Linked DNA regions of Sus scrofa. The protein of the gene in region 1 interacts with the protein of each later gene in a biochemical or structural test. Links are inferred from orthologs where the notes say so. Each region holds a gene or a part of one and is shown on either strand. Other genes may lie near its edges.

Evidence for each region. The genes of interacting proteins can lie anywhere in the genome.
Region 2: the proteins of TLE4 (region 1) and PAX5 form a complex in vitro, tested with the Homo sapiens proteins (2 studies listed by BioGRID). The link is inferred for Sus scrofa from reciprocal best matches to the Homo sapiens genes TLE4 and PAX5.

What each region holds. Positions count from the first base shown.
Region 1 is NC_010443.5:232,355,098-232,359,378, forward strand, and holds the start of TLE4 (transducin-like enhancer protein 4), read left to right. Parts: upstream 1-1,481; 5' UTR 1,482-1,708; coding exon 1,709-1,753; intron 1,754-2,094; exon of another isoform or gene 2,095-2,249; coding exon of another isoform or gene 2,250-2,288; intron 2,289-2,594; coding exon 2,595-2,692; intron 2,693-3,761; coding exon 3,762-3,825; intron 3,826-4,281. UniProt on the Homo sapiens protein: Transcriptional corepressor that binds to a number of transcription factors. Inhibits the transcriptional activation mediated by PAX5, and by CTNNB1 and TCF family members in Wnt signaling.
Region 2 is NC_010443.5:237,764,955-237,768,454, forward strand, and holds part of PAX5 (paired box protein Pax-5), read right to left. Parts: intron 1,605-3,500; coding exon 1,407-1,604; intron 1-1,406. UniProt on the Homo sapiens protein: Transcription factor that plays an essential role in commitment of lymphoid progenitors to the B-lymphocyte lineage. Fulfills a dual role by repressing B-lineage inappropriate genes and simultaneously activating B-lineage-specific genes.

The sequences.
Region 1 (4,281 bases):
GGCGCGTAAAATTGATGTGAACTGAACGAAGTGGGATCGGCGTGATCTTCCCTCTCTTGTCTCAACAGGGGTTTCGGAGCATTACACAAGGCCGAGCTTGTCTCTTTAAGGAGACATTGGACCCTAATTAGTCCGCATTCCTGGCGCGGCCGGGAGCAAGGGGCCGAGGGTGTTTAGATTGGAGCGGGGCGGGTGCGAGAACCCGAATTCGGAAGATCTTCTGACTAGCCTCCAGTCTCACCGCCCCCTCCACCCTCTTTATTTTGCCGCCACCATCGCCACCAACACCCAGTTCTGAAGATACAGCCAGGGCAGAGGCAACAGCAGCAGCAGCAGCCACCGCTTCTCCCAGGCCCACGTTACTTTGATTGACAGCCGAACAAATGTTTCCTCGGTTCGAACGCTCGCGCTAAGGAACGTCATCCAAGGCGAAGCTCCGCCTTGGGCGGGCCATCTCCGCCCCGCCTCTGCTAACCCCATAACGTTCCATTCATTGGTCCGAGCCGCGGACGACGCCCGGCCCCCACGTGGGTTCCAACCCCGCCGGCTCCTCCCCCCTAGCTTGCCATTTGTCAACAGTGAAATGATGGGCAGTAACACAGAACAGCGATTAATGTTCAGCCATCTCTGATTGGTTGCTGGAGACGCCTACTGCGCAGGGGGTGGGAGGGGCTCTTGGAGAGCACCCCAGAGTGGTCGCGTGGCGGGCCGGTGATTGTAGTCAATCTGGCGGAATCCTCAGCTGCGGCCGCCGGGGGCGGACTACATCTCCCGGGATGCTTCGCGGGCCCTCCACGGACGGTTGTGAATATGTATCAGAATGTTAATGATTAGCCGCTGCTAAATTTGGTCAAAGAAGTCACCTACACCGAACGTGTTGTTAGAGCTGTTCCGAGCGGGTGTTTGGGCTGTTGGCTGCTTTCTTCCCCCTCTCACACACTTGTATATTATTTTGAGGTGGTGTTCGCAGAGTTTGAAAGGAGAGAGATTTTTTTTTTTTTAAAGCCGCAAGCGTTTCACTCTCTTTTATTTTTATAATCCCCTCCAATTTGGGGTTTAAAAAGACAAGAAAACAGGAAGGAAGAAAAATAAGGAAATGAGATGTGGTAAAAGAAGCTAAAAGGTGCCTTTTAAAAGATCGTTGCTGTGAGGTGAAAAAAAATCTCCAGAGAAACCAAAAAGCACCGCCGAGATCTCTTCCGAACCAAAGGAGTTTGTGTTTGCTTTTAGGAAAGAAGAGAGAGATCATTCATTCGGAGGAATAACAACCAATTAAAAGACAAATAAAAAAAGTTTGGAGTGGGACGCCGAGCGAGCCAGTGAGCGAGCGGGCGGCGCTGCCGGCAAGCGCTGGGACGCGGAGCTCGCACTTTCCCGGCTGGGTGAGCGGCGCGGCCGCGGCGCCAGCTTCGGCGGGCGCGCCTCGGCGGAGCGAACGTCGGAGCGTTGCCGCGGGAGACGCGCGCCGGACAATGCCCGCGGCGGGCCAGTGACGCCCGCGGGGAATGCAGAGGGGCCCGGCTGTCTGCACCCAGCCCGCCGCTGCCGCGCGTTCCTGCCGCCCGCGTCACGCGAGACCCGGCGGGGGCCAGGACCGCCCGAGCCGCCCCTCGGACCCGGCCGGCCGCCTCCGCCGCCTCTTCCTCCGGGCCTTTAAAGCCAATGAGCCGCGCGCTTCTGCCCAGCGTAGCCAACTAAATCGGTTTGGATGATTCGCGACCTGAGCAAGATGTACCCACAGACCAGACACCCGGTGAGTGCGGGCGTCAGGGGCGCGGGCTCGCCGAGCGCCGGGGGATTCCCCGCGTCGCCCCCTGCGTGCCGAGTTGTGTCTGTGACCAGAGGGGCGTGGAGGGCGGCCCGAACCCGGCTCCCTGCCCGGGGAGTCGCCCGCCCCCACCACCTCTCCCCCCGGGCTCAGTGGCACTTTCGGAGCCAGGGTGCGGAGAGGCAACAGAGTTGTAGCCATTTTCTTATTGTTGTCTTTGAAGCCCCTGGAAGGCGCGCGGAGCCGTTTGTCGTCCCCGCGCCGCGACTCCTCTAGGAGGGGTGGCTAGCGATGGAGGAGGCGCGACTCCGCGCCGGGGCGGGGAGGGCGCCCTCAGCGGCGGCGCGGCGGGTCCGGCAGCGGCTCGGGAGTGCGGGACGCCTTCCACTCGCGCCGCACGCCCAGGGGAAGAGCGAACCAGTCGGCCGGGGAGGGTGGCGGCTGCGTGCCCCCTCCCCCGACCTGACCGCGGCTCGACGCCATGGCGCGCGTCCCCCCGACTGGCCCGTTTCGATTCCGGGTGGGGAGGCAGTGGGCGCGGCGCTCCGGGTGGTTGCTCACGGCCGGCGAAGGAGGAGAGCGGGGGTCTCGAACCCTTGGGGGGCCCGAGCGGGCGAGAGGACGCGGGGGCCCTTGGCCAGCCCGCTTGCAGCCTCCACTGGGCTTTGCGGCCAGGGGAGGGGGCAGGAGGAGAGTTTTAATCGCTCTTTGCCTGCTAGCGCGATGACACCCCCAACCCCCCGCCAGCGCGGCGTGCTGTGTTTTCTGCATCTCTCTGCCTTGCCTCTACTGTGGGCTAATTAAATATTTTATTGTTGTTCTTTAGGCACCGCACCAGCCTGCTCAGCCCTTTAAATTTACCATTTCCGAGTCCTGTGATCGGATTAAGGAAGAGTTTCAGTTTTTACAGGCTCAATACCACAGGTAACGATATTGACTTTAGCTGATTCTTCTGTTTGCTTAGCTCTTGTCTCCCCACCCCCGTACAACCCCCCCTTTTTTTGGCCACCGCAGAGGTATTGTCATTTTTCCTTGTGGGCAGAAAGGGCAAGTCCAGGCCTCTTTTCCTTTGGCAGGTGTAAAGAAATTAAGCATTTCCTCCTTCTCCCATAAATTAAAAAACCAAAACCTTAAAAGGCCGAACAATCGAAACTGGGGAGACTTGGAAAACGCTGAGGCCAAACTTTCGATATTGATTTATTGGGGCAAGGAGAGTGGAAGGTTGGAAGATTCTGGGGCCTTTTGACTTCCTTGGTTCTTTATTACTCTGCTTTTGATTCCTTCTTATTCTGCCATTCCACTGAATTACCAGGGGCACAGAGCCGTGGGAAGTCGCCAAGCAGGTGATTTCATTACTTTTATACTGAAAAGATGTTTATTGTCTTAAAAAGACAATCATTAGACTTAGAATGCCTTTGAAATATTTTTCTTTTGCTGGATTTTTGATGACGTGTGGTTTTTACTTCCTAAATGCCAGACCAAAACAAGCCACTGAACCGGATCCATGCCTTGCCCCTGGGTGGTGGTATTCAACTTGTCTCTGTGTTTTGGAGGGAAAAAAATAAGACATCATTCATAAAGCTTGCTTGATTCATGTTTTCATTTTAATCTCTTCGTGGAACATTAAAGAAAAAACTCCCTTGTGACATTTCAGGGGACTTTGTGTTTGGAGATGTAGACATTATTGATAATTATTTCCTCTTTGTTTTATTAAGTTAGTGAATATTCTGGATGCAATTCGCGTTAAATTGGTCATTTTTTTTTTCTTTTAAGCAAACAAAACCATCACATTTGATCCTTGTTGAAAGGGCAAGTCCAGGCTGGTTCCAATCACCCTTTTCTCTTTCTGCCTATTTCAGTAATGAGGGTGGTATTTAAGATAGTTGATTTGATGTTTTGTAGGTGGTGATTTGGAAGAGGGAATGTGTATTTACATTTGAGGGATGTAAGTCAGGTTCTGCAATGTACTTAGATTTCCTTTTTTCTGGAACAGCCTGAAGCTGGAATGTGAAAAACTTGCCAGTGAGAAGACAGAGATGCAGCGGCATTATGTGATGGTAAGAAAACTGTGTCACAGATTCAAAGTGCCTATTAGTTTGGGATGCCGAAAGCAAGAATATGTTCAGATTGCTGGAGGCTGCAGGATAGATCACAGTCAAAGTGCTGGGATACTGGAAGTCGTGGGAATATGACCATTAGCAACCTGTAATTCCAGGATGTTAGAACTTGCCTCTGACAACCAGCTTTGATTTGAATTTTCAAAAAGTTTAGCTGCATGGGGTATAATTTTCTGTCCTCAGTTTTTACAGATTGAAAAAAGTAAAAACCTCATTTATGTTTCATTTAGAGTCACAAACAAAATGTTTCTGTGTTAGTGGTTTTCTTTGTTGTTTTATTGCTCTTGCTCTAAAAAATTTTAACCAGAGTTTTTCTGTAAACTGTTAAAATTTTAATGTTATATTTTTTTAAAGAATGATGGTTAAGACACTAGACATCTTGTCCAGTTTTCCCCT
Region 2 (3,500 bases), about 5.4 Mb from region 1:
CTGACCGCTTCGTTCTGCCGGGGGTGAGGGGTCCCCTATGCCCAGACCGGCTCTGCACTGACAAGAGTAGGGCCTGACCTTGGAGAAATGGGAACTGTTCAGGTTTTCAGTCTGCTGGCTCCTCTTTTCTTTGTGGAGTTTAGAAAACAATCATTTCTGTCATCTCACAACTTCATCCTTGACTCTATGTGTTTCATTTCCATTGAAACCCATCTCCAGTAGAAAACTTTTAGGAATTCTCATTTTGAAGCTCTGAGAGCTCCACTGAATGTATTCTAGACAAGACTGGAAAGGAGAAGGAGCTCCCAAGAAGAAGATCCCATGCCTGGTACTCATAGTATTTCTCTGGTTTTTTTCTCTCCAGGGGTAAGATTTGGGGCAATTGGGAAAAGGGCAACCCCTTAACTCCACGGCATCTTAGTATCCTGGATGTCACTCTTGGAGGCCACAGGCTCCCATCAGAACCACCAGGGTCCTGGGCTCTCAGAGAAAGGAAGAGCTCTGTCAAGAGCACACCATAGGGAGTTCTCTGGTGGCCTAGCAGTTAAGGATCTGGCATTGTTACTACCATGGCTCATGTCACTGCATGTTCAGTCCCTCATCCCAGGAACCTCCACATGCCATGGGTGCGACCAAAAAAAAAAAAAAAAAAAAATCACAGGCTATGTCTGCAGCAAAGCTGGCAAAAGGAGCTACTAAAATCTTCCAAGTCCAGGCTCTGTTCCCCACACTCAATGGCTCATCCTCTGCCCAAGCTGGAGGCAGGGATCTCCCTCCTGGGAAGCTCTGAATTGCGCCAGTGCTAACCTTGAGCTTTGGCTTGCAAGGAAGTGACATTTATGAAACTCTAACAGGAAAATTCACAGTTAAGTGCTCCACACACAGAGGCAGGTGGTGAAGGGAGTGAAGGCAATGACTCTGGGCTCAGGAGACTCTCCAGCAGCCAGGGTATTGGCCTGGCCTCCTCTCCCTGGGCTTAGGACTCATGCCCACTTTGGAGAGAAAGAAAGGGTGATAGAGAGACTCATCCAGCCCCATTAGCATCCCTCCTGTCTGATAACCTCTATGTGGTCTTGACAAGATCTTTAGAAAAGGCACATGCAGGAGTTCCCGTTGCGGCACAGTGGAAACAAATCGACTAGGAAACATGGGGCTGTGGGTTCAATCACTGGCCTTGCTCAGTGGATTAAGGATCCGGCGTTGCCGTGAGCTGTGGTATAGGTTGCAGATGCAGCTCGGATCTGGCGTTGCTGTGGCTGTAGCTCCGATTGGACCCCTAGGCTGGGAACCTCCAAATGCCATGGGTACAGCAAAAAAAGAAAAAAAAGAAAGAAAAGGCACATAGAGACCCCCAGGAACCCCCACCCTACCCAGACCTCTAGCCTCCCACAAACACCAGCCCTCACCTGTTGATGGAACTGACGCTGGGCACTGTGTCATTGTCACACACCCGTTCCGCAAGCAGTCGATCCCTGATCTCCCAGGCAAACATGGTGGGATTTTGGCGTTTATACTCAGCAATTTTTTCCACCACTTTGGGTGTGGCGACCTTTGGTTTGGATCCTCCAATTACCCCAGGCTTGATGCTCCCCGTCTCATAATACCTAGGACCCAAGGAAAAAGGAGCTTAACCTTGAGAAACCAGGAAAATACATGTTGATAACAAAATAGTGGACCACTCTGTCCAAGAAATATTCAGATCTTTGCTGTCCAATACAGTAGCCACTAGCCATATGTGGCTTTTGAACATTTGAAATAGGGCTCGGTTGAATTGAGATGCATTGTGGGTGTAAAATATATACCAGATTTTCAAAACTCAGTACAAAAAAGAAATGCATAAATCTCGTTAATGATTTTTCTATTTGTTACATGGTAAAATGATCATCTTTTTTATATACTGGGTTAAAAATATCATTAAAATTAGTTGTACCTGTTTCCTTTTTCCATTTTAAATGTACTACTGGAAATTTTTAAATGTCATGCATGGCTCACGTTACATTTCTATTGGACAGTGCTGGTTAAAATGCGATGCATTGATGATTTAATTAATTCTGTCACATCTATCTACCATTTACCATTTGAAGGTTTACAGAAAACTTTCAAGTCAGTTTTCCCATTTGATCCCCACAACATTTCTAAAACACATAAATGTTTTGAATGACAATGAATAAATAAATAGGTCCCTATCTACAAATATAAAACAGAGATCTATAGAGGTTAAACTGTCTGCCCAGGGTCACACAAGACCCAGTGGTAAACCAGGACTATGGCCCAGCCTCCTGAGCTAAAATTTCCCCAGAAAGCTGACTTGTGCCCTTCATGTGTCAGCTCTCCCTTCGTCTAAGAAGACTTGTCTACATACTGTGAAACCCTTCCCTAAGATGCAACTTTTTTCCATAAGAGAAAAACAATAACCCTAGTGTAAAATTTAAAAGGGTGTTGGACTCCAGAATTAACTGAAAATAGCAGTTATATATATGTCAAAACCCAAGCAATCAAAAAAAAAAAAAAAGCAAAACAAAAAAAAAAACCAGAAAACCACAAGTCACGGCAGCTTTTCCAGAGACCACCCCTGAGGTAAATCGCTGTTTCTAAGGACATTTCCATGCTATCAGCTCTTCCTCGTTAACACAAATAGGATGTCAGGGTTTTACAATAAAACCGAGACCAGGGAGAAGAGTGCCATGAAAGATCATTTCAGGGGAAAAAAATTACTTCATTCCTTTTCTGAGCCTGAGCCTTCACTGGATGTCTCTCTCAACATTTACAGAGGAATTCTTGACTTCCTCTTGCAAAGGAGATGATCATGCAGTTGAAAAAAAAATTTTAATGAAAAAGACATTTTTAGAAATGTTTAAACCAAACCAGAGTTTATATAGTAGGTAAGGGAAAGTGGTGATTCTCCCAAGGGCTGGTAACCGATAACAGTGACTGGTTGCAGTTAAAGAGATGCTGAAATGCTCAGCCTAGGTAAGTCTGGTTAGGGCCAAGTTAGTGACTATTCTAGAAACAGATGAAATAATTTGGGAGCAGTGATGTGGATATGCAAATTCCATTTTTCATTGAGAAGAGTGAGTCATGTACAAATTTGGATCACAAAGCAAAACTCAACCTGTCCTCACTGTTTCTGTAATTGCTGAAAATGTGTTAGTAGTCGAAAAGAGGGTTTTTCAAAAATATCCAAGAAATCGCTTTTTTGCCCGAAGTCTAAAAAAGTATCTGAATGGAAAGCACACAGCAATCTCTGCAGCCTCCAATTATCCTTTCAACTTTACAATAGAAAGTCATTCGTTACTATCAACACAATGACGACGACGACTCATTCTTTAGGCACAGTGCTTTACAGTTTACAGAGTCTTCCTTGAATTATCTTGATCCTCAACCAATCCTGAGAGGCCAGCAGGGTCTTATAAAGGGGAAAACAAATGATCAGAAGATTAAGCGCCCCACCCAACTCCCTTTTGGAATTTAGAAGCAGTCCCGGCTCTCAAACCTGACTC